Cricetulus griseus: one gene and its partner. The protein of the gene in region 2 interacts with the protein of the main gene of each other region in a pairwise test. Links are inferred from orthologs where the notes say so. Each region holds a gene or a part of one and is shown on either strand. Other genes may lie near its edges.

Evidence for each region. The genes of interacting proteins can lie anywhere in the genome.
Region 1: the proteins of Rhoa (region 2) and Ripor2 interact in binary tests that used the Homo sapiens proteins (3 or more experiments, as listed by UniProt). The link is inferred for Cricetulus griseus from reciprocal best matches to the Homo sapiens genes RHOA and RIPOR2.

Annotation. Positions count from the first base shown.
Region 1 is NC_048596.1:245,933,371-245,944,197, reverse strand, and holds the start of Ripor2 (rho family-interacting cell polarization regulator 2), read right to left. Parts: upstream 6,306-10,827; 5' UTR 6,288-6,305; coding exon 6,187-6,287; intron 4,668-6,186; coding exon 4,512-4,667; intron 3,220-4,511; coding exon 3,141-3,219; intron 1,583-3,140; coding exon 1,559-1,582; intron 438-1,558; coding exon 384-437; intron 1-383. UniProt on the Homo sapiens protein: Acts as an inhibitor of the small GTPase RHOA and plays several roles in the regulation of myoblast and hair cell differentiation, lymphocyte T proliferation and neutrophil polarization.
Region 2 is NC_048597.1:216,502,360-216,513,086, reverse strand, and holds the end of Rhoa (transforming protein RhoA), read right to left. Parts: intron 7,592-10,727; 5' UTR 7,590-7,591; coding exon 7,434-7,589; intron 5,331-7,433; coding exon 5,210-5,330; intron 4,172-5,209; coding exon 4,041-4,171; intron 2,605-4,040; coding exon 2,431-2,604; 3' UTR 1,319-2,430; downstream 1-1,318. UniProt on the Homo sapiens protein: Small GTPase which cycles between an active GTP-bound and an inactive GDP-bound state.

The DNA.
Region 1 (10,827 bases), on a different chromosome or scaffold from region 2:
CCCCCACCCTTCCTTGCTTAATTCCTCTCTTTCTTTCGGACTTTATTTACTTATATTTTATGTGAGTGGGTGTTTTGCTTGAATGTGTGTCTGTATCACATTCATGCCTGTGTACACATGGAAGTCAGAGGAAGGTGTTGGATCCCCTGTGTCTGGAGTTACAATTGGTTGTGAGCCATCATGTGGTTGGAAACTGAACCTGGGTCCTCTGCAAGAACAGCCAGTGCTCTTAATTCCAGCCCCAAGGCTTTCATTTCTATGTTCAGTTTAGATATCTGTGAGTTGAAGGCTCACTGGGCTCATGCTAGACTCAGGGTGGGCATACACTGGGCAGTAACTGAGAGCAGAAACACAGAAGCAAAGACAACAGCAGCATGGCTTACCTTACTAATGTGAAACTCCAGGCGTCGCATGTACCTCTCAATTGTTTTAATTTGCTGGAATTAAAAGGAGAAGCTTGAAAAAAGGGCAGCCATTCACAGCGCAATCAATTAGGCTTGTGAGAGTAATTTCAATAGCGTGTCCTCTGCACAAGCACTGGAAATACGGTACTTATTACTTCCTCTTTCCTCCCACCTTGACCACTATTTTAGGGTTGTTCTAATGTTAATTTTGAAAAACAATTTTTTTCAAAACACTGACTATCGTGAGAGATAAGCTTGAACTAATTATGGTCATCCTGTGTTTAACACTAAGGTGGCCAATCCATTCGATTTCTGGTGGAGCGGTCTCATTTTTTGTATGTTTTAAACTGAGCTTTTTGCCCATTGAATTATGCCTGAAACTGGGGTACATTTTATAATTGTTATTTGTCCATTGTGGCAGTTAGCCATGGGTTTGGGTTTACAGATACAACTGCTCATGACAGCTTTATGAGTCATAAATATTGTTGTAACATACATTTAATTTAATTACTCTTTAAAATATCGTCACAGAGACTATATCATAATTTAACATTTAAATAAAGCTATGTATATAGAATGGCATGGAGAGTCACATTGTATACAACTAAAAAGGAAGACATAAAAATCTCACTTCTAAAAGGCCTGAAAGAATTTTGTCAGTAAGAATATATATGTATATGTATACATATTATGTGAAAAGAAAGAACTAGATTTAAGTGTAATGATTTTCTATTTAATAATTTATTTTTATTTTTTTAAACATTAAATTATATATGGAATATGTAGTGAAAATATATATTTTAGTGGCACATAAACAATTGTGGCATTTTCTGATCAGAGATGTCTCATATTTGACATCTACTTAAAGGCCACATGGAAAGGACCTCTACATCCAAGTTCCAGACTCACAGAAACCAGAGCAAACACACAACCAGGAGGCCCTGTTTCCCCTCAAGCCAAATGCCCTTTGATTCTGGAGTGCCTAATGCTCATTCATCCTTTAACAACAACAACGAAAACGATTTTTCTTCCCAAGATGAGAAAATCATCCTTTATCTGGACTTGTACTGTCTACCCCAGGGTCTCTTACTGACATCTGCTCAAAGTGCAGAATTTCACTTCCAGCAACACCCCAACACAGAACGATAGCCTACCTTGTCTAGGTCATATAGCACACCCTGAAATAAAAAGAAGAGCCCCTGGTTATAACACATCATCCTCAGAAATGCCGTAATAAGCGGCGCGGCTCACATTTCTACATTGCTTGAGAAGGAATCACAGCCCCACAAAATTTACTGGATTTTTTGGTATCTGCTTTTACTGAGTAGAACTCTGGGTTATTTGGAATACTCTCAAGAGCCAGCATCACCTCACCTCTGTGATTCTATGACTGCACCCTATGCTTTCCGGCCTCTCGGCAGCTTTAAGGGTTCATAAAGAAAACCCAGAGAAGTCTGTCTGTCAGAAGTGGAAGATAAACACAACTGCAAGGCCTACCTATGCAGACTTGCCTGGGGTTTTGTGCTGCCCTGAAAGGCTAAGGTGTGATAAATAACACTTGGGTGTGAACAAAGTCAGTCCTCACAAATTCATCAGAATAGAGCACATTCTCCATCCAGCATGGGACTCAAAGATGCTTTCACTCTGGCCTTAGTGACCTTCTTCCCTACTTCCCTAACTGCTGCCACTGGCTGAGCTGGTTAGTTTTTGACACAAGCCAGGGTCATCTGAGAAGTGGACCGTCAATTGAGAAAAATGCTTTCAGGTTGGCATGTAGGCAAGTCTGTGGTGTGGGAGAGTCCTGCCCATTGTGGGCGGTACCACTCTTGAACACTTGGTCCTGAGTACTATAAGAAAGCGGGTTGAGCAAGACAGGAGGAAGAGACAGTAAAGCAGTGTTCCTCCATGGTCTTCTCTTGCCTCCAGGTTTCTGCCTGACCTCTCTCTATGATGGAGCATAGTCTATAAACTAAAATAAATTCTTCTGCAAGTTGCATTTGGCTACGGTGTTTACCATAGTAATAGGAAGCAAACTAGGACATTGACCCATATTTACAAGTGGGAAGTAGAGCAAAAAAAAAGTTCTTGTTTCTGAATTCTGAATGAACTAAGGTGATACTAGGAAAACAGCAACATATTTTGTTATATTACAGAGAGTTTTCTTTTCTTTCAAGGATTTATTTATGTATTTCATATATATGAGTGCTATGTCTGCATGTATGTCTGTATACCAGAAGAGGGTACCAGATCACGAGCTGCCATGTGGGTGCTGGGAATTGAACTCAGGACCTCTGGAAGAGCATCCAGTGATCTTAACCACTGAGCCATCTCTCCAGCCCTACTTAGGGGAGTTTCCAAAAACCATCCTTATCATCTTTATTTCACTATGAAGTATATCTATATAAACACATAGCACATGCTCAGAAGAAATAAGAATAAAGCTTTCAAAAGAAAATAATCTTTTTTCCTATTATTTATTTATTTATTTATTTATTTATTTAGTGTGTGAGACAAGGTCTCACTATAGTATAGCCCAGGCTGGCCATTTTCCTGTCTCAGCCTTCCTCCAGCAGGGATTACAGTTGTGAACCACCATGCTCAGATCTTCTTCCTTCCAAAACATAGCTTTGTTAAGCATTTCTCTCTTCCCCTCCCCTCCCCACCTCTGGTAAGCTAGGAGTGGAAACACCTACCCCCCCACCTTATGTTAGCATCCTCGTGGTCAGAGGGACTTACCAGGCGAGAGTTTCTTTTCATATCTTTTAACTGAGCGGTCAACTTGTCCAGCTCCGTCTGGTGAAATTCCAGGTACTCACTGCAAACATAAGACATCATGGTGAGCTCTCACTTCCGGAGGGACCTTGGCAGTTGCTGACCTTTGCCTTTTGAGTTAAGAATAGGAATCTCAGTCAGTCACACCATAATCTCAGTACATGGGAGACTGAAACAGGACTAATAAGTATTCTAGGCCAGCCTGGGCTTTACAGTAACTCCCAGGCGAGCCTGGGTTACAGAGTGAGACCCTGCCTCTCTCTCCTCTTGGAAAAAGAATCAAAACTTTGCTCCGTGGCTGGGGAGCATTTTGGAAACACTAGTAGTTACATCTGATCTTGTCTAGTTTGAAGAGAGGGCGAGAGATGGGGCAGGGAAGGGGATGTCCCTGTGAAGATGAAAACCCAGAAATGAAAAGTCAACTGGGAGGGAAGAGTCAGGCAGGAGTTTGGTCACACAGTTTTGTCACCTTGTAGTGACTGCAGGTGCCTTACCAAATGCTAGGCAAGGTTTCTTCTGGACAAATGGTTTCAGAACCCTTTATAGCGTGTTTACATGTGTATATGTTTGAGGCAGGTTGTATATTACGCCATCCAGGCTGACTTTGACCCTTTGATGATCCTCCTGCCTTGGCCTCCTGAGTGCTGGGTAGAATTACAGGTGGGATCCACCACACTGGGCTCAGAACCCTTCCTCAGCAATCTCTAGTGCAGCTATGGCTGTCCACCACCGTCTAAATAAAGTCCAACCCTGCAGGGATTGGATTTCACTTAACAATAAACACATGGACACTACAAACACATCGCCGTGTCAATCCTGCTTCAGTGTCATGTATACATGCAATTCCAACTGTCTCCCATCTAGGAGACTTACTAAAAGCTTCCTCAATTATAGAACTGGAAGGAAACACCCAGCGAAGTATGCTTTTTTCTTCTGCAGTCCCAGCACTTGACAGGTAGAGACGGGGTCAGAACTGCATAGTCATCGTTGTCTACATAGGGAGTTCAAGGCCAGCCTGAGCCACATGAGACTCTGCCTCAAAACCAAACAAAATATATGCCGGGCATTGGTGGCGCACACCTTTAATCCCAGCACTCGGGAGGCAGAGGCAGGCGGATCTCTGTGAGTCTGAGGCCAGCCTGGTCTCCAGAGCGAGCGCCAGGATAGGCTCCAAAGCTACACAGAGAAACCCTGTCTCAAAAAACCAAAAATAAATAAAAAAATAAAAAAATAAATAAAATAAAATAGGGCCGGGCTATTAGCTTTTAGGAAGGAAAAGGGTTATTTTAGGAAGGAAAAATGCCCAAAGTGCTTTGTCAAGTCTATTGTTCTTACTCAAGTCCATTTTTCAAGGCTCTATAGACCTCCTCCACTCTCTTTGGCTGAGGCTCTTTGGGAGTGTTGTTATTTTTGTGTCCTAAATTGTGCATTTTCTTCAGTTTGGCCTGAGGCTTCTTGAGAGCAGAGGCATTTTCAATGAAGGAGTTACACCTAAAGAAAGAGAAAGGAGACTGTGAGTCTCAGACATCAGAAAGACCCACCAGGGAAACGCCTTTTAAATCTTCTTGCCTTCATCCTGTGCCCTGGATAAAGGTAACATGACCCTGGACAGCTACAGATCCCAACTGACCACATTTCCTTTCTTGATGTTTGTTGAAAGTTTCGCTGGGCAGAGGCTACCCTGTGGCATAGCCTAGCTTTGAGTTGTATGTCTTTTGAGGGTGCCCTTGCAGTCTAGCTCAAAGCGAGCCAGGAATAAATGTTCCAGGTGGAAACAATGAACAGGTAGAAGTTATATCAAACTAAAAGAAAGAAAGTTCTTTGCATAATATCAGATACAAACTTATACAAACAAAACCACATGTAGCTTGTACTCAGAACTCTCCTTGGAGTATTATTTATATTATTTTACTTTATTTTTTGAATTCTGTTTTTTTGCATATGGGATCTGTGTGTGTGTATGTGAAGGGGCTAGTGCATGTGTGTGCACACGTGTATGGAAGTCAGACACCGACTTTTGGGTATTGTTTTTTAATCATTCTTCTTCTTATTTTTTTTAGACAGAGTCTGTCTTTAAACCTGGAGCTCCTTTGGAAAGGGAGAGCATCAGCCATCAGACAAACCAAAGATGAGTTTCCTTGCATGTTACCCATTCACTCTCTGTACTTCCTTGGGTTTATGAGAGGAGGTGATTCCAGGGAAGGTAGGGCCTAATTTCCCAACTCCCCAGGGTCACGCTGAGGCATGGTCTTCATTCACTGTCTACTTTCATACCAAATACAGTCTCCAAAACAGGAAGGTAATGGTAAGTGTGCTTTAAAGGGGTTGGAAATGAGGCAGGAGGGAGTCCACACTCTTAGGTCCATGGCTAACTGTGGTACCTATTAGCATACCAAAGTGCACACTTGCCTCCAGGCTCTTTCAGTGTGGCAAGTACCTGTTACAGAGTCCATGCTGGCACCCTGGTTCTTCTCACCCGCTTCCAGTACTAACCTTTTCCAGCTCATGGGCTTTCCTTCCCCTAGTGTCTGATTCCTATACAACCCTGCCATTTCAGCCATGTATTTTCTTGGCCCTCTTTGCCACCTTTCTTGGCCCCCTCTCCCACTCCCCCACCACACACCCACCCCATGGCCTAGTCTAGTCTGCTGGCCATGCTCAGTGTATTACTTTCTCTCCAAGCTCTGGACTCTTCCAGATGCCCCTAGCTTTACTTTCCCTCATATCTCCATTAAAAACCATCCCCCCAACCATACCTCTGATGAGTCATGTCCCCAAAAGTGAGGACATGACTGCTCATAATAGCTAGGATGAGCTAGCCATTTACATACACACATCTTTGCACAAGAAATTCTGAGTGATATAATGACTGCACTTAACTCTGGGTGAGTTATGTTTTCCGTGAAGAGGACATTAACTACCACACACATGCACGTTGGTGTGGCACACACACCATCATCAGCTCCTGCCTCTTTTCTGCTGCATCCCAGGAGGAGCACCCAGCACTTGCCTGGATCGCCTTTCCTGCAGGCCGCTAAAGCCCGCGAAGGACTGGCTCCGGATGATGCCATTGGGCCCTCCAGGCGAGAAGGATTGAGATCCCACCAGCATGATTTCTGGGAGTCTGGTTGGCAGTCCTGTAAGATAGATGGAAGACCATGATGACTGTCAGGCAGGTTCGCACAGAAACACTGAGCTTGTCGACATCCACAGGTGTACAAGGTTAAGTGACTCACGAGGTCCTGGTCATGAGGGCCATGAAATGCTTCTGAGACTTTCCTAAAAAGATACTCATTTATACCAAAGTAAATATTATCACACAAGTTCCTGCCACTTAGGTTTCCTTTGGGGGTATGTGTATATGATGCACATATGTTTATGTGTGTTTGCATGCGTACGGGCACGTGTGCATATACGTGTGGATTCTTAAGGTGATGGTAGGAATCTTCCCAGACAGTGTTCATCTTACTCATTGTGGCAGTCTCTCAACCAAGTGCAGAAATTGACAATATGGCTAGTTGACTTAGCTAACTTGCTCCAGGGATCCCCTGTTTTCAACTTCACAGTGTTGGAATTATAGGCCGGCTGCTACGCCTTCCCAGAATTCATGTGGGTGCTGACAACTGGCACTTTATCCTCAGGCTGCACACTTACTCACTGAGCCAGTCCCCATCTTCCCAACCGACGCATGTTTTCTTAGGAGTGCCCACTCTTCCTTCCTTCCTTCCTTCCTTCCTTCCTTCCTTCCTTCCTTCCTTCCTCCTTCCCTTCCTCCCTCCCTCCCTCCCTCCCTCCTCCCTCCCTCCCTCCCTCCCTCCCTCCCTTCCTTCTCTCTCCCTCTTTCTCTTCTCTCCCTTCTCCTTCCTTTTACCCAGCCCCCCTTCTTTCTTAGGTTCAACCAAGGTTTACTAAAGATAAGAACATTTGTGATGGTCCAGTCCATTCAGTTGCAACAACAACCCTGCACAAATGAGCCACCATCAAAATTTCAGATTGTCTAACAACCTGAAATTCAAAACATCATCAGGCCTACGGATGGGATTTTATGTTTAAGGCTGAAAACACGAGGTTTCTTCAAAGATGAACTTATTTAAACTCTCTCCCCCTTTCTCACTAAGTTGGCTGGGCAAGTAAGAAAGGGTAGAAGGGGTGCTCACAAAGGAAGTGATAATCTGGGTTAGATAAGAAGGCAAGAGAGGTAGGCCTCCAGCCTTTTTGAACCTTTCTTCAGTTGTTTGTTTGGCTTTGTGAAGATTCCCTGTGACAGACTAAGGTGCAGTGTCAAAACACAACTTCAACTGAACAGAGGCCCAAGGTTAGTCCCCCAAGGGACTGTCCTAGAACTGTGAAGTAACCCTACCCATAGTCAACCAAAGTATGTACCATTGTCTCAGCAGGTGACATCAGCCCAGACAGGGGCTGAGCTACTAGGAATAGGTGAGTGCCCACATTGAAACCTCCCAAGGTAGACACACACCAATTAGCATCACCCATTGTTCTTTAAGGGACCTAGGAGAAAGAGAGAAAAGCTAAACTCTCAGGGAGCAGACTCCCTTCCACACTGCCACAGGGCTTTAAATTCCTTATTGCTGGGGACAAGGTGCTCATTCACTGGGAAGTCAGTCTGGGGATGAAAAGTAAGCTGGCTTTTCCATGGGATGGGACAGAAACCTCATAGCTACCAAAGACAGAAGGGATACTCTAGACTTTTAAATGTAATGAAATAGAAATCTGTAAAGCTAATGGGCTGTGCGCAGTGACTAGGTACAATGAAGCTGTCCCTCGTTACTCCACAGAGAAGCCCAGTTTCTTGAATTCCTCAACAAGTTCCCATAATTGCTCTCTCTGGTCCTTAGGTTTCTATCTACATTTCACTGAGGACATGGTCCTTGGGCTCACAGAGCCAGCCCACACAGCATGATGTCACCTGCAAACTTCTAAACATCATGAAGAGGGCATTGTGGCTTGTGTTCTTCACTCCATTGATTTATGCTTGTTTTCCCTTGGTGCTAGGGATGGAAACCAGGGCCTCCCCCATGGTAGTCAGGGGCTCTATCACTGAGATTCACTCTCACTCCTGTATTCAATAATTTGACAACCAAAACCTAATCTCATTAAGTATCAACTTCACAAATCTTTTAAATTTCATGTTATTATTTTATGTGTATGGTTCTTTTGCCTGAAAACATGTCTGTGCACCACAAACTCAAAGTGCTAGCTGAGGCCAGAAGATGGCGTCTGTAACTGGAGTTATAGATGGTTGTGAGCTGCTAAATGGGGTGCTGGGAATTGAACTCAGGCCTTCTGGAAAAGCAGCCAGTGGTCTTAATATCTGAGTTTTCTCTGCAGCCACATCTTGAGGAATCTTATTAGTATCGTGTCTCATGTTGTAAATTGTTCATCAGGTCTAATGAAGCACAGACACTTGATTAAAACATGAATAAGCTTTAAGGCTGTTTAAAATATTTGACTTTCACACTTCCTAGAAGTTATGTGTATATATTCCTCTTGGTGTGATGTTTTGAGATAGAGTCTCACTATGTAGCCTGAATTGTCTTGGAACTCACTAAGCTGCCCAGGCTGACTTTGAACTCATATCAATTCTCCTATCTTAGCTGTAGGCAGGGTCTCACCATGCAGAACTGACTGGCCTGGAACTTGCTGCATAGAGAAGACTGGTCTTATACTTGTGATGAGCTTGCTACCATTGCTCCTTTGTGCTAGCACAAAAGTATGCTGAAGTTTGATTTTCTTTTTAAACTCCAAAGACTTTTGTCTCTCTCTAATTCTTTACAACAGTAGATTAAGCTACAGTGGCCTGGCTCCAAGCCTCAGGCATTCTAGGATAATTAATACAGGCAATGACCTGTTTATACAGCTGTTCAAAAGGCCCCTCAGGTGTTTTGATGTTGGGCAGAGTTGGGATGATACTGCTTTAGAAATTCCATACACAATCACTTGCACTTAAGATAGACTTGAAACAAAAAAGGAGAACAAGAGAACAGAGGAAAAACTGTAATGTTGGGAAAAATGTAAAACCTAGAAGAACATTACAATTGAACAAATTCAAATGTTTTCTTAAATTTTATTCTTCCTTTTATTTCTATTTTATATTCATTTATTTACATTGAGGCCGGGTATTGTTATATAACTCAGGCTGGCCCGGAATTCACTATGGGGCCCAGGTTTGGCCTTAGTCCCCTGAATGCTGGGATTATTGTCTACCATGCTTGCTATTCAGTATTCATGTTACTAAGCCTGTGGAATGCTTGCCCATCACTCGCAAGACCCTGGGTTCAATGCCAAGCACCATGCATGCACACAAATCATTACAGAAGTGGTTAATGCGTTGTGGCATAATCACTAAGGTAGAAAACTCTGTCATAGTGAAAACAATGATAGGCAGAGTCGTGCATGCATGTCATCCCAACACTCAGGAGGCTGAAACAAGACGAGTGAATTCAAGGCCTGTCTTGGGATGTATAGTAAGATTCTGTCTCAAAAATCCAATAGTAATACTAAACTGTCATATGATTTTCTTAAAGAAATAAACCCTAGGGGCATACTGGGCAACAGTATAATATTAAGAATAATAAAAAACAAAGTCATAGAGAACTATGCAAATGGATGGAAAAGTTATGGAAGCATAGACAGTTGTCATGGGCTGTGGGATTGAATGGTAGTCAGCAACATTGTAGTATTTTCTGCATGTTGGTCTTATAGAGATTAATGCATGTATTATTCATGGATGTGAAATTTCCTTCTTGAGATTCCAGGCCCTTGGAGTTGGGAGTGGAGAGAAGACAGCTTACTTCAGAAATCATGTAAGAGCCGGGCGGTGGTGGCGCATGCCTTTAATCCCAGCACTCGGGAGGCAGAGGCAGGTGGATCACTGTGAGTTTGAGACTAGCCTGGTCTACAAGAGCTAGTTCCAGGACAGCCTCCAAAGCCACAGGGAAACCCTGTCTCGAGAAAAAAAAAAGAAATCATATAAGGTAGCTTTGGGGTGCCAACTTTGGTTTTTTATTTATGTCTTACAGAGAAGAAATATGATTTCTAAGAAACAAGGTAGTAGTAAATTTCAAATATTTTGAGTGGATTCAAGCAAGTCACAATTCCCATAATGTCCTTATTTTGAATTTTGAGATATATAACAACTTCCTGACTCTCATTCAAAACTGTTAGAGATCACACCAGATTTAGATTGCTACGCTTCATCAAAAGCATTTCCAATAAGCAGAGTTTCATATCAAACTACAGACTCATTTTTGGATGCTGTTACTCATATTCAGGACTGCTGGAGCTTTGCAAAAGAAGACTTTTTGGAGCTGGAGAGATACCTCAGCTGTTAAAAACACTGGCTACTCTTCCAGAGGAAGGTTATCACATGGTGGCTCACAACCATAACTCCAGTACCAGGGATCTGATTCCCTCTTCTGGCCCCTTTGACATTGTATGTATGTGTTGTATATATATGTATGCCTATGGTACACATACACACATGCAGGCAAAACACTCATACACATAAAACAATTAAAAAACAAAAAGACTGGTCTTTTTGAAAACTACAGTTGAGTCAATATTCATCTTTATGCATTAAAACCTAGAAGGGGGGGGGTTGTGTGTGTGGAGAAGTGGTTCAGTAGCTAAG
Region 2 (10,727 bases):
TTCCCATGAGTCACCAGGAATTGCCCGCCTTGCACAACCCCGGTACAGGCCTGAATTCCAACTGCTACCAACACCAGAGGGAAAGTGAGCGGGTATCCCGCCTCTGGGAGCCCGGGGCCCCTTCCTCCCGACCCTGCCCCGCACACCTGATGTCCGAACTGATTGCACGGGAAACCGAGCACCACCAAGCCACGGGGCCCGAGGCGTTTCTGCAGATCGTTCATCTCGGTGTAGTCCCGAGTCGTTGTTCCTCAGAGGGACGCGACATTCTCAATGAGCAGCACCTTGCCCCGCAGGGAGCCCAGGCTCACGGGCTCCCCGCCCGTCAGCGGGCGCGCGGAGAAGGCATACACGGTGGACTGCACCGCCGCGGAGAGCCGGGCTGCACACATGATGCAGAAGCTGGTGAGCTCAAAACAGAAGCCACACTGGTGCAGTGGGAGCCCAGCACCCCCCTTTAACTGGTAGATGGTGAGGTCACGTGGTATCCGCTTTTTTCCGGCCCCACAGCCCGCTCTAGGTTCCAGGGTCCCGCCTTATCCGGCCTCTACCCTCCCCCAGCTAGGGCCAGCCCAGAGGGTGCGGCGGGTCCAAGCGCCTAGCGGAGTCTTGGGCGCGTCTGGTCTAGCCCAGGCAATGCAGTACTGGTTTAGAGGCAACCGCCATGGCGACTCTTCACGGTTTAATTAGTCTAGGGTCCCGCCTAGGAAGCTGGCCGCAGTCCGTAACGGCTGAAGCAGCTCACTTATATTGTGTAACTTTCCCCTCCTAGTCATGTTGTATGGAGTTTTCTTTTAGGAGGCTTTTTGTTGTTTTGGTTTTTCAAGACAGGGTTTCCCTGTGTAGCTTTGGAGGCTGTCCTGGCACTCGCTTTGTAGACGCGGCTGGTCTCCCTCTCTGCCTCCCAAGTGCCGGGATTAAAGGTGTGCCCCGCTGTGTTGTTTCTAATAGTACTGAGAACTGGCTGTCAGAGTGAGTTCCTGTGGCTGTTTTAGAAAGGGTTAGGTGGAAGGCGGACGACAGAGGCATCAGCCCTTCTCAGGACAAGAGCACTCCAACATCCATGTCTCTGGTGGTCCTATTTTTCTGCCCCCTCCCCCCGCTTGGTCTTAGTCCAGAAAATCCAGCTCCCCCTTCACCTTACAGGGCCCCCGACTCCTCTTTTTAGATTTGGATGTGTACAGGATAGTCATTTCATGTTCATGGGAGGAGCCACGTTAGTCTAGATGAGCTTGAGAGTGGAAGGAGCTAGAACCATGCAAGCTGAGTCTTCCATCTCCTGTCCCTAGCCCAGTTGAAAGCAAAACACACACCAGGATACAGGAAGTTTAGAAAACTGCCTTTATTCTATTAGTTGGAAAAATTAACTGGTACAGAAAAAAAGTTTAGTCAGCTGGAGAGAAGAGAAAACCTCCCTTGCCACCCTTAAGAACTGGTGGCTCCCCTGGGAGGCAACTTGGATACAGTGTGGATAAAGGAGCACTGTGACTTAGAGCCAGACCCTGCAGTCCAGGTGAGAAAGGCTATGCCACCTCAAAGGTGTAACTGCCTCAGGCGTGAAACCAAATTTCTATTTACTTAGTTCAGTCTGGAAAGGGGTACTGGGGTGATATATAGGGCTGAATAGGGGAGATATGGCCATATTTTATCAGAGAAAGTGACAAAATGGGAATTTTAAAAATGAATTTTCCATCTGACTTTATTTCCAAATACACTTTCTTAAAAAAAAAAAAAAAGAAAGAAAGAAAAGAAAAAACAAAAAACAATACACGTTCTGTGGGAATGACAAATATCAGTATTAGGAAATCCAATTATACAAAAAATACTACATCTAGTCTGGGGTAGATATATTTATTTTTGGTAACATACATTAAGTGGCACTAATTACACAGTAACTATAAGGTAACTAACATGAGACCACAGAACTGCAAATCTGCCACAGCTGCGTGGACTTCGGCCTTTCTGGCTGAGCAAGTTCTCAAAACCCTGGATGCCTTCCCCAGAGCTCTGCCAATGTAATCTGTTAAGGAGTAAAGCTCTGCCTTAGTGACTCACCAGAGTTCCCTGCAGCTGACAGATGAGAGGCAGGACATGTTAGTTATAAAGTAGTTACAGCCTAATTCACAAAAGTTACCAACTGTTTCTCTTTCTAGAAAGAAGCAAGAAGTTAAGAAATTCTTTGACTTAGCGCCTGGTGTCAGGTGGAGTGCAGAGAGAGCTGTTAGAGCAGTGTCAGAAAGACCCTGGCTGGTCAGACAGGTTGGACATCATTAATAATCATGGTTGGCTTCTAAATACTGGTAGCAAGATGACTTCTGATTTGTAATCTTAGGTAAATTATAGATAAATGAAAAGGCCAGTAATCATACACTAAGATTAATAAACAGCACTTCAAAATTAACCGCATGAGGGCTGTGCTTGCACAAGGCTTCACAAAATGAGGCACCCAGATTTTTTCTTCCCACGTCTGGCTTGCAGAGCAGCTCTCGTGGCCATTTCAAAAACCTCTCTCACTCCATCTTTGGTCTTTGCTGAACACTCCATGTACCCAAAAGCGCCAATCCTGTTTGCCATATCTCTGCCTTCTTCAGGTTTTACCGGCTCCTAGTAGAGAGAGAAGAGAGCTTCAGCTCAGTCTTACTTAGGAAGATACAAAGCATTTATTGACTTTCTTTCTTTTCTTTCTTTCCTTCCTTCCTTTCTTTCTTTGAGACAGGGTTTCTCTGTGGCTTTGGAGGCTGTCCTGGAACTAGCTGGTAGTTGTAGACCAGGCTGGTCTTGAACTCACAAAGATCCTCTGCCTCCCGAGTGCTGGTATTAAAGGTGTGTGCCACCACCACCCGGCTTAAGACTGTTTTTCTGTTTTGTTTGAGACAGGGCCTATGTTTATGTTGTTGAGGATGACCTGATGATTCTCCTGCCTCAAACTCCTAAACAGCTGGAACTATAGGCACATGGCACCACTCTTGGCTGAAAAGACTTCAATCAACCCTGCTTTAAGCTGTTATATTTATTGTGGTTTTTTGAGACACAGTTTCTTTGTGTAGCCTGCTATCCTGGAACTAGCTCTGTACACCAGGCTGGCCTCAAACTCACAGAGATACCAAGTGTGGGGATTAAAGGTGTGTACCACCACTGCCCAGCTCTAAGCTCTTTCATAAAATTCTCAAAACGTATATGCATACCCTGAAACTAATGTCTTAAACCTGCTCTTTTATTGTAGGCAGAGAGAGGTCAGAAAAACTGGGAGACTGAGTAAGGAATTCAGGGCAATACATAACCTTTTTTGCTATACACTGGTGCTAAGCAAGACACTGAACTGTACTCCCTGCCCAAAAATAGTTTATTGAGTACAGTGCAAGGGCACAAGTTAGATAATAACAAGAGCATTTATTGCCTCTATATAGCTTTAGAGACTGAATACCTGCTAATGGCTAGAGCCTGGCCTTAACACTGAGGTCAAGAGTGGAAACCTGGGTTTCTTTGGGTTAAATATGTTAACACTCCTTCGCTAGAGAAGTTCTGACATTAGAGCACCTGGTTCCTGAAAGGTCAAGATTTATTTATTAAAATGGAATTTGGACCTTCTGCATGGACTAATAACTACCTTTAGGGTATCCCGTTTCTTTGGCCACTGGAGAGGGAAAGGAGCTGCCTGTATCTGAAGCAGTAACTTCTGCTGAGATGGTTTCTTCCTAGGGTGCCAGTCCTTAGGAACACATCTAACTCTTAAGAGACATTCCATCTTAGTGATTAAGGAGCCTCTGGAAATCCTTTTGGTCAGGCCAATGAAGGTTGGGTCTGCAAAGGACTTCTGGTATTCTGTAATAGCATGGTTTGTGAGGGTTTCCTCAGGGTGACAAAATTTAAGACTACAATAGGGAAAGCTAGGTGTAGTGGGGCACACCTTAAGATCCTTGCACTCAGGAAACAGAGAGGTAAGCAGATGTCTGAATTCCAGACCAGCCAAGGCTACACAGTGAGACTTGATTTAAAAAAAGGAAAACCAAACTCCAGTTCCTCCCACCCCCACACCATACCTGCTTCATTTTGGCTAACTCCCGTCTTGTGTGCTCATCATTCCGAAGATCCTTCTTGTTCCCAACCAGGATGATGGGCACATTGGGACAGAAATGCTTGACTTCTGGAGTCCATTTTTCTGGGATGTTTTCTGAAAGAAAAAAATGTACAGTATTTGAGAATAAATTCTAATTCCATTTTTGAAGAACTCTAAGAACCCTAGTTAAATTTTAAGGGCATTTCCCTTTCCACTGTTGTTTCAAAAGCACATCAGGGGCTGGCAAGATCACTTAGCAGGTAAAGGTGCTTGTCACCAACGGGACTCCAGTTAGTGGTACAAGAGAACTGTTTCCTCCTTACTGTCTTCTGACCTTCAAGTATACACACACCATTAAAAGAACATTTGGGGCACTATATAATGAAAATTAAAAATCCATTAATCTCAAAAATCATAGAAAAAGGCAAAATAAGCTGGGCGGTAGCAGTGCATATCTTTAATACCAGCACTAAGGAGTCAGAGGTGAGAGGATCTCTGAGTTTAAGGCCAACCTGGTCTACAGAGCAAGTTCTAAAAGCCAGAGCTACAGAGAAACCCTGTCTCAAAAACCAACAAAGAGTGAAAAGGTGTTGCTGAGCTTCTTGGGGGGTGGGAATCCAAATAAGAGCTCTGGATTCTGCCCCACAGTAAAAGGCTCACTACAGGCCATGCCTGTCACTGCTGGTAGAAAGGTCATAGCTGCCAAGGTCATTTTCTCTTTCTACCTTGCTCTGGGTTCTTATGGTGGTTTGAATAGGAATGGCCCACACACACTCATGAGTTTGAATGTTTGGCCCACAGGAATGGCACAAAAAGGAGGTGTGGCCTTGAAGTAGTTTGTCACTGTGGAGGTGAGCTTTGAGTTTTTGTTGTTTTGTTTTTTAAGACAGGGTTTCTCTGTATACCAGCCCTAGCTGTCCTGGAACTAGCTCTGTAGACCAGGCTGGCTTCAAACTCACAGAGATCCACCTGCCTCTGCATCCCAAGTGCTGGGATTAAAGGCGTGAGCCACCAACTCCTGGCATGATTACTTTTCTGAAATAATGTCAGAATATTTGATTTGCAACCACTGACTAACGAAAAGGACTCCCAAAACACATCCTTCACATCTAAATAGGCAGTGACAAGCAACCAGCCTGCAAAGCTACTCACCTAAACTATCAGGGCTGTCAATGGAGAAACACATCAGTATAACATCAGTGTCTGGATAGGAGAGAGGCCTCAAGCGATCATAATCTTCCTGTCCAGCTGTGTCCCACAAAGCCAACTCTACCTACAATAGGAAAAACAACAACATAAGTGCAACGTTAATATTACTACCCATTTAAAAAAAAAAAAAAAAAGACACTCACTATATACAAACAGCAAACTGTCCAAAATAGTAAAAAGTGCCATTCATCTTTTTGAGAATCAAATACAGGTTGTTTAAACAGTATAATCAAAATAGCACCCCCACACACACACCACCCCGAGACAGGGTTTCTCTGTGGCTTTGGAAGCAGTCCTGGAACTAGTTCTTGTAGACCAGACTGGTAACGAACTCACAGAGATCTGCCTGCCACTGCCTTAGTGTTGGGATTAAAGGCCTGCGCTGCCACCACCGGGGCCAAAGTAGCAAATTTATAAACAGAACACTATACATCCAAATGTCCAGTTAATAAACCACTGTAGTTTATAAAACCCTACACAAGGAACTAAGGGCAACTCCAGCTGAGAGCTGGAGAAACAGTCTTTCCCAGAAAAAGAGTACACCAACTAGTTATCAATTCCAAATGGTTAGCTCTGAAAACATAACATAAAGTTAATGTTATACAGACTGAGTTTGTTGTACTTATATATTTAGAGACAACAACACACACACACACTGAGGCCATGAATTTTAAGAGCAAGAAAGGGTATATGTTAGAGGAGTGGGCCTCAACCTGGGAATCAAATGATACTTTCACAGGGGTCATATACCAAATATATAAGATACTTACATTATGATTGATAACAGTAGGCTGAGCAGTGGCAGCTCATGCCTTTAATCCCAGCACCCGGGAGGCAGAGGCAGGCATCTGTGAGTTCGAGACCAGCGTGGTCTACAGAGTGGGTTCTAGGACAGCCTCCTAAGATACAGAGAAACCCTGTCTCTAGGCTAAGTTAATATGCCAAAGAGGACATACTGTTGGCCCCCAAAACTATCCTTTTAGTGCATAGTTACAGAAACACAACACCTCACAGTTACTTTATACAGATGGAATGTCATAATAAAATCAGTAATACATTCACTAGGCCTTTGAGAAATGACCTTCAAAAATGCTGACCTGGCCAAATCAGTTGAGTATATATGCTAAGATCTCAACAAATTTCCACCTAGTTTATCTCAAATGTAGTTGAGAATGACCTTAAATTTCTGATTTTCCAAGCTCTACCAGCCAAGTACTATGATCAGAAACAAGCCGCCACACAGGTGGTACTGGAGGTTGAACGCATTTGCTCTACCAGCTGAGCTACATCCCTAATTCCATTTACTCATCTATTTTAGTTACCTATTTTTTTTAAAGATTTTATTTATTTATTATTATGAATAAAAACTTCATGCCTCCATGTATGTCTGCATGCCAGAGCAGGGCACCAGATCTCATTATGAGATGGTTGTGAGCCACCATGTGGTTGCTGGGAATTGAACTCAGGACCTCTGGAAGAGCAGTCAGTGCTCTTAACATTTGAGCCATTTCTCCAGCCCCCTTTTAGTTAACGTATTTTTGAATTTATTTATTTAATGGGCACCCTCTTACTCTCTAGCTGAAGCTGATCTGAAACTTAAAATTATTTATTTTTATATTATGTGTATGAATGTTTTAACTGTATGTATGCACAAATTACATAAAATGTGCGCCTGCTGCCCATGTGGGTGTTAGGAACTGAACTCAGGTCCTCTGATTTCCTCCCTCCCTGAATTATCATGCCCAGCCTGTATTCTCTATATTATTTGTATTTCTGGATCTACAATGATAAATCCTCAATTTAGAGCAGCTAATCTAACATACTATACTAGCTGGGCATCACTGCACATACCTGTAATTAATGACCTCATGTAGTTGGCTGAGGAAGAAAAATCCTGAATATTTGAGACCCCATTTCAAAAATAAAAACAAGATGGAGTCTAGAAAATCAAGGGTTTAAGGCCAGCCTTGGTTCAACAGTGATACAGAAACCAGCCTGAGCTATAGGAAACTGTCTCAAAAACTAACTAATAAATCAACCAACCAGAATCCCAAAAGAAAGGTGGCAGGGGAAATCAACTTCTGTTTCTAACATTTCTGCTGCACTGTGTACAAAACAGCCTAGCCTAACATTCAAAGAAATCAGTTACTATGGAACTTGAACTCACCTGTTTCCCATCCACTTCGATATCTGCCACATAGTTTTCAAACACTGTGGGCACATAAACCTCTGGGAATTGGTCCTTGCTGAAGACTATGAGCAAGCATGTCTTACCACAAGCTCCATCACCAACAATTACCAGTTTCTTCCTGATGGCAGCCATCCCTTAAACATAAACAAAAGGTATTATCTAGAATGTATAAGAATCCATAAGCAGCCCCAGACTATGACACATTTTACTGGCTATGGGGGTAGGAAGGAAGCATTTACTAGCACTCCCAAATTAAAAATTCTGGAACAATGTTCTATTTGGCATCTAAAAGCTACATACCAAAAACTATACTTAACATTAAAGATTAAGAAACATCCCACAGGCGGTATGGCGCATGCCTTTAATCCCAGCACTTGGGAGGCAGAGGCAGGCGGATCTCTGTGAGTTGGAGGTCAGCCTGGTCTCCAGAGTGACAGAGAAAACCTGGCTTGAAAAACCAAAACCAAAACCAAAACCAAAAAAGAGCCATCCCATAAGATGAGGAACAAAACAGACATTTCTTCTTGTCACTTCTATACAAAACCATTAGGTAAGAATTTTTAAGGAATCTACTGAAGAAAATACCAGAGCCTGGTATGGTAGCTTGTGCCTATAATTTTGAGGGGCTGAGGCAGTAAGGGGTACTATAAATGGGGACTGGACAATAGTATGATGACTCTATCTCAAAAACAAAACAAAATACATACAAATTATCAGAATGAATAACGCAATAGACCCTGTTTCAAAACAAAAGCAAGACAAAAATAATAAACAAAACAATCCATCCATCAAGGGGCTGGCTCAGTAGAGTGCTTGCTAATCAAGCATGAGGGCGAGTTCAGATTACCAGCATAGAAAACCTGCCAAGAGACAGAATTGCATTTTGTTCTTCTTGTTGTTTTTGTTTTTGAAGACAGGGTTTCTCTGTGGCTTTGGAAGCTGTCCTGAAACTAGCTCTTGTAGACCAGGCTGGTCTTGAACTCACAGAAATGGGCCTGCCTCTACCTCCCAAGAGCTGGGATCAAAGGTGTGCACCACCTCCACCCGGCCAGCAACTGTATTTTTATACCCTAACAATGAATAACCTGGGAAATGAATATTTTACAGATTGGCATGATGGCTCATGCCTGTCATCCTAGCACTTGGAAGGCACAGGCAGGAGGCTTACTTCCAGCATGAGACCATAGGGTATGCCTAGTTCCAGGCCCGTGTAAGCTATAGTATATGTTATTTTGAAAAATAAAATCAAAACTAAATTTTGCAACACACACTGGGACATGATTTTAAGCCTGGACTACCCTGTACCTTTAAGGACTGGAGATGTAGCTAAGTGGTAGAACAGTTGACTAACATTTTCCAAACCCTGGGTTTAATCCCTAGACCTCAAAACCATACAAAACAACTTGGGCATTGTGAGACTGTATGAAAACACCAAGAACACCCAGGTGTGGTAGTACATGCCTGTAATCCTAGCACTTGGAAAGTAGAGGCAGGAGGAACAGGTGCTCAGTCAGAGTCATAGCAAGTTTGAATACAGCCTGGGTCCTATGATTCCCTGTTTGTTTGTTTGTTTGTTTATTGAAATTGAGACAGGATCTGTGAAATAGTCCTGGCTGTTCTGAAATGGTCCTGCCTGTCTCCCAAGGAGACCCCGTCTCTAAGAATGTATCAGCAAGCATCTGGGGGAATGGTGAGATTGCTCAGCTGGTTAAGGTACGTAATTACCATCAAGCCTGACCTCAGTTCAATTCCTGGGACCCACGGGGTAAAAGGAGGACCAACTAGTACAACTTGTCCTCTGACTTCCACATATACTATGGCATCCATATACTCACACATAAATTAATGTTTTTCTTTTTTCTTTTTTCTTTTTTTTTTTTAAGGTGAAGCTGAGGCAGGTGGATTTCATTGAGTTCAAGGCCATCCTGGTATACAGAGTGAGTTCCAGGACAGCCAAGGCTACAGAGGAGAAACACAGTCAAAAAAACAAAACACACAAACAAAAAAGTGAGTGTGGTGGCATATACCTTTAATCTCAGCACTTGTAGAAGGACTACTGCAAACATGAGCCTGGTCTACATTGATCAAAGTTTAGTTAGGACTATACTCAATTATACTTGGAATTTCATGCCTCTTAAAATGAGATTTGAGCAGCATGATGACTTAAAGAATAAAGGTGTTTACTGGGCTGAAGAGAGGGCACAGAGGTTAAGAGCACTGGCTGCTCTTGCAAAGGACCGGGTTTAATTCCAAGCACCCACACCAGTTCCAGGGGATCTGGTGCCATCTTCTGGAAACGGGCACTTGCTGCCAGGCATGATGACCTGAGGTCAATGTGCTCACGCTCTCCTCTCCCTGTCCTTCCTTCCCCCACCCCCCCCCACACAAAATTTTTAAAAACGTAACACAATCATTTCTCTATCTCCTTTTTTTTTTCCTTTGTAAATTTTTAAAAACTACATTGACTAATACATTTATTTGTTGGAGAGAAGGCACACATGTGAGAACATATGGTGGGTGGTAAGAGAGCAACTTCCAGGAACTTTCTCTGCTACCTTGTGGGTCCCAGGGATCAAACTCGGGTTTTCTGACTTGGCAGTAACTGCCTTTACTTGCAGAGCCATTTTGCCAGCCAAGTCTCCCACCTTTTCAAACCATACACCTTTATCTACTTACTAACTAGCCTTGAACATTTCTTCTTTCTTTCGTTTTTTTTTTTTTTTTTTAAAAAAACAACAGGATTTCCCTGTGAAATGTTTCTGGTTGTCCTGGAACTCACTCTATAGACCAGGCTGGGCTCTAACTCACTGAGATCCTCCTGCCTCTGCCGCCCGAGTGCTGAGATTAAAGGTGTGCGCCACCACTGGTGGAGCCTTGAACATTTCTAAAGCCTCAGGGGAAAGAAATGTCTTTACTGAAAACCTCTTTCCTTTTCCCAGAAAGAAGCACCGTACTTGTCCATTCGATTTTGTTCCAAAGTCCATTTCTGGCCCTAAACTACCCTTTCCCCAATTACGTGTTGCCTCCCAGTACAGACTTGGGCCTCTCTTGGAGCTTATAACATAAAACCATGCCTGAGATGGGTCTTATTTTTATTATTACCATTGCTATTATTGTTATTATTATTGTTTTCCAAGTCAGGGTTTCTCTGCATAACAGCCCTGGCTGTCCTGGAACTTGATCTCACAGAGATCCACCTGCCTCTGCCTTCTGACTGCTAGGACCAAAGGTGTGTGCCATCACACCCTGCTAAAGTAAGGCTTCTTTAAG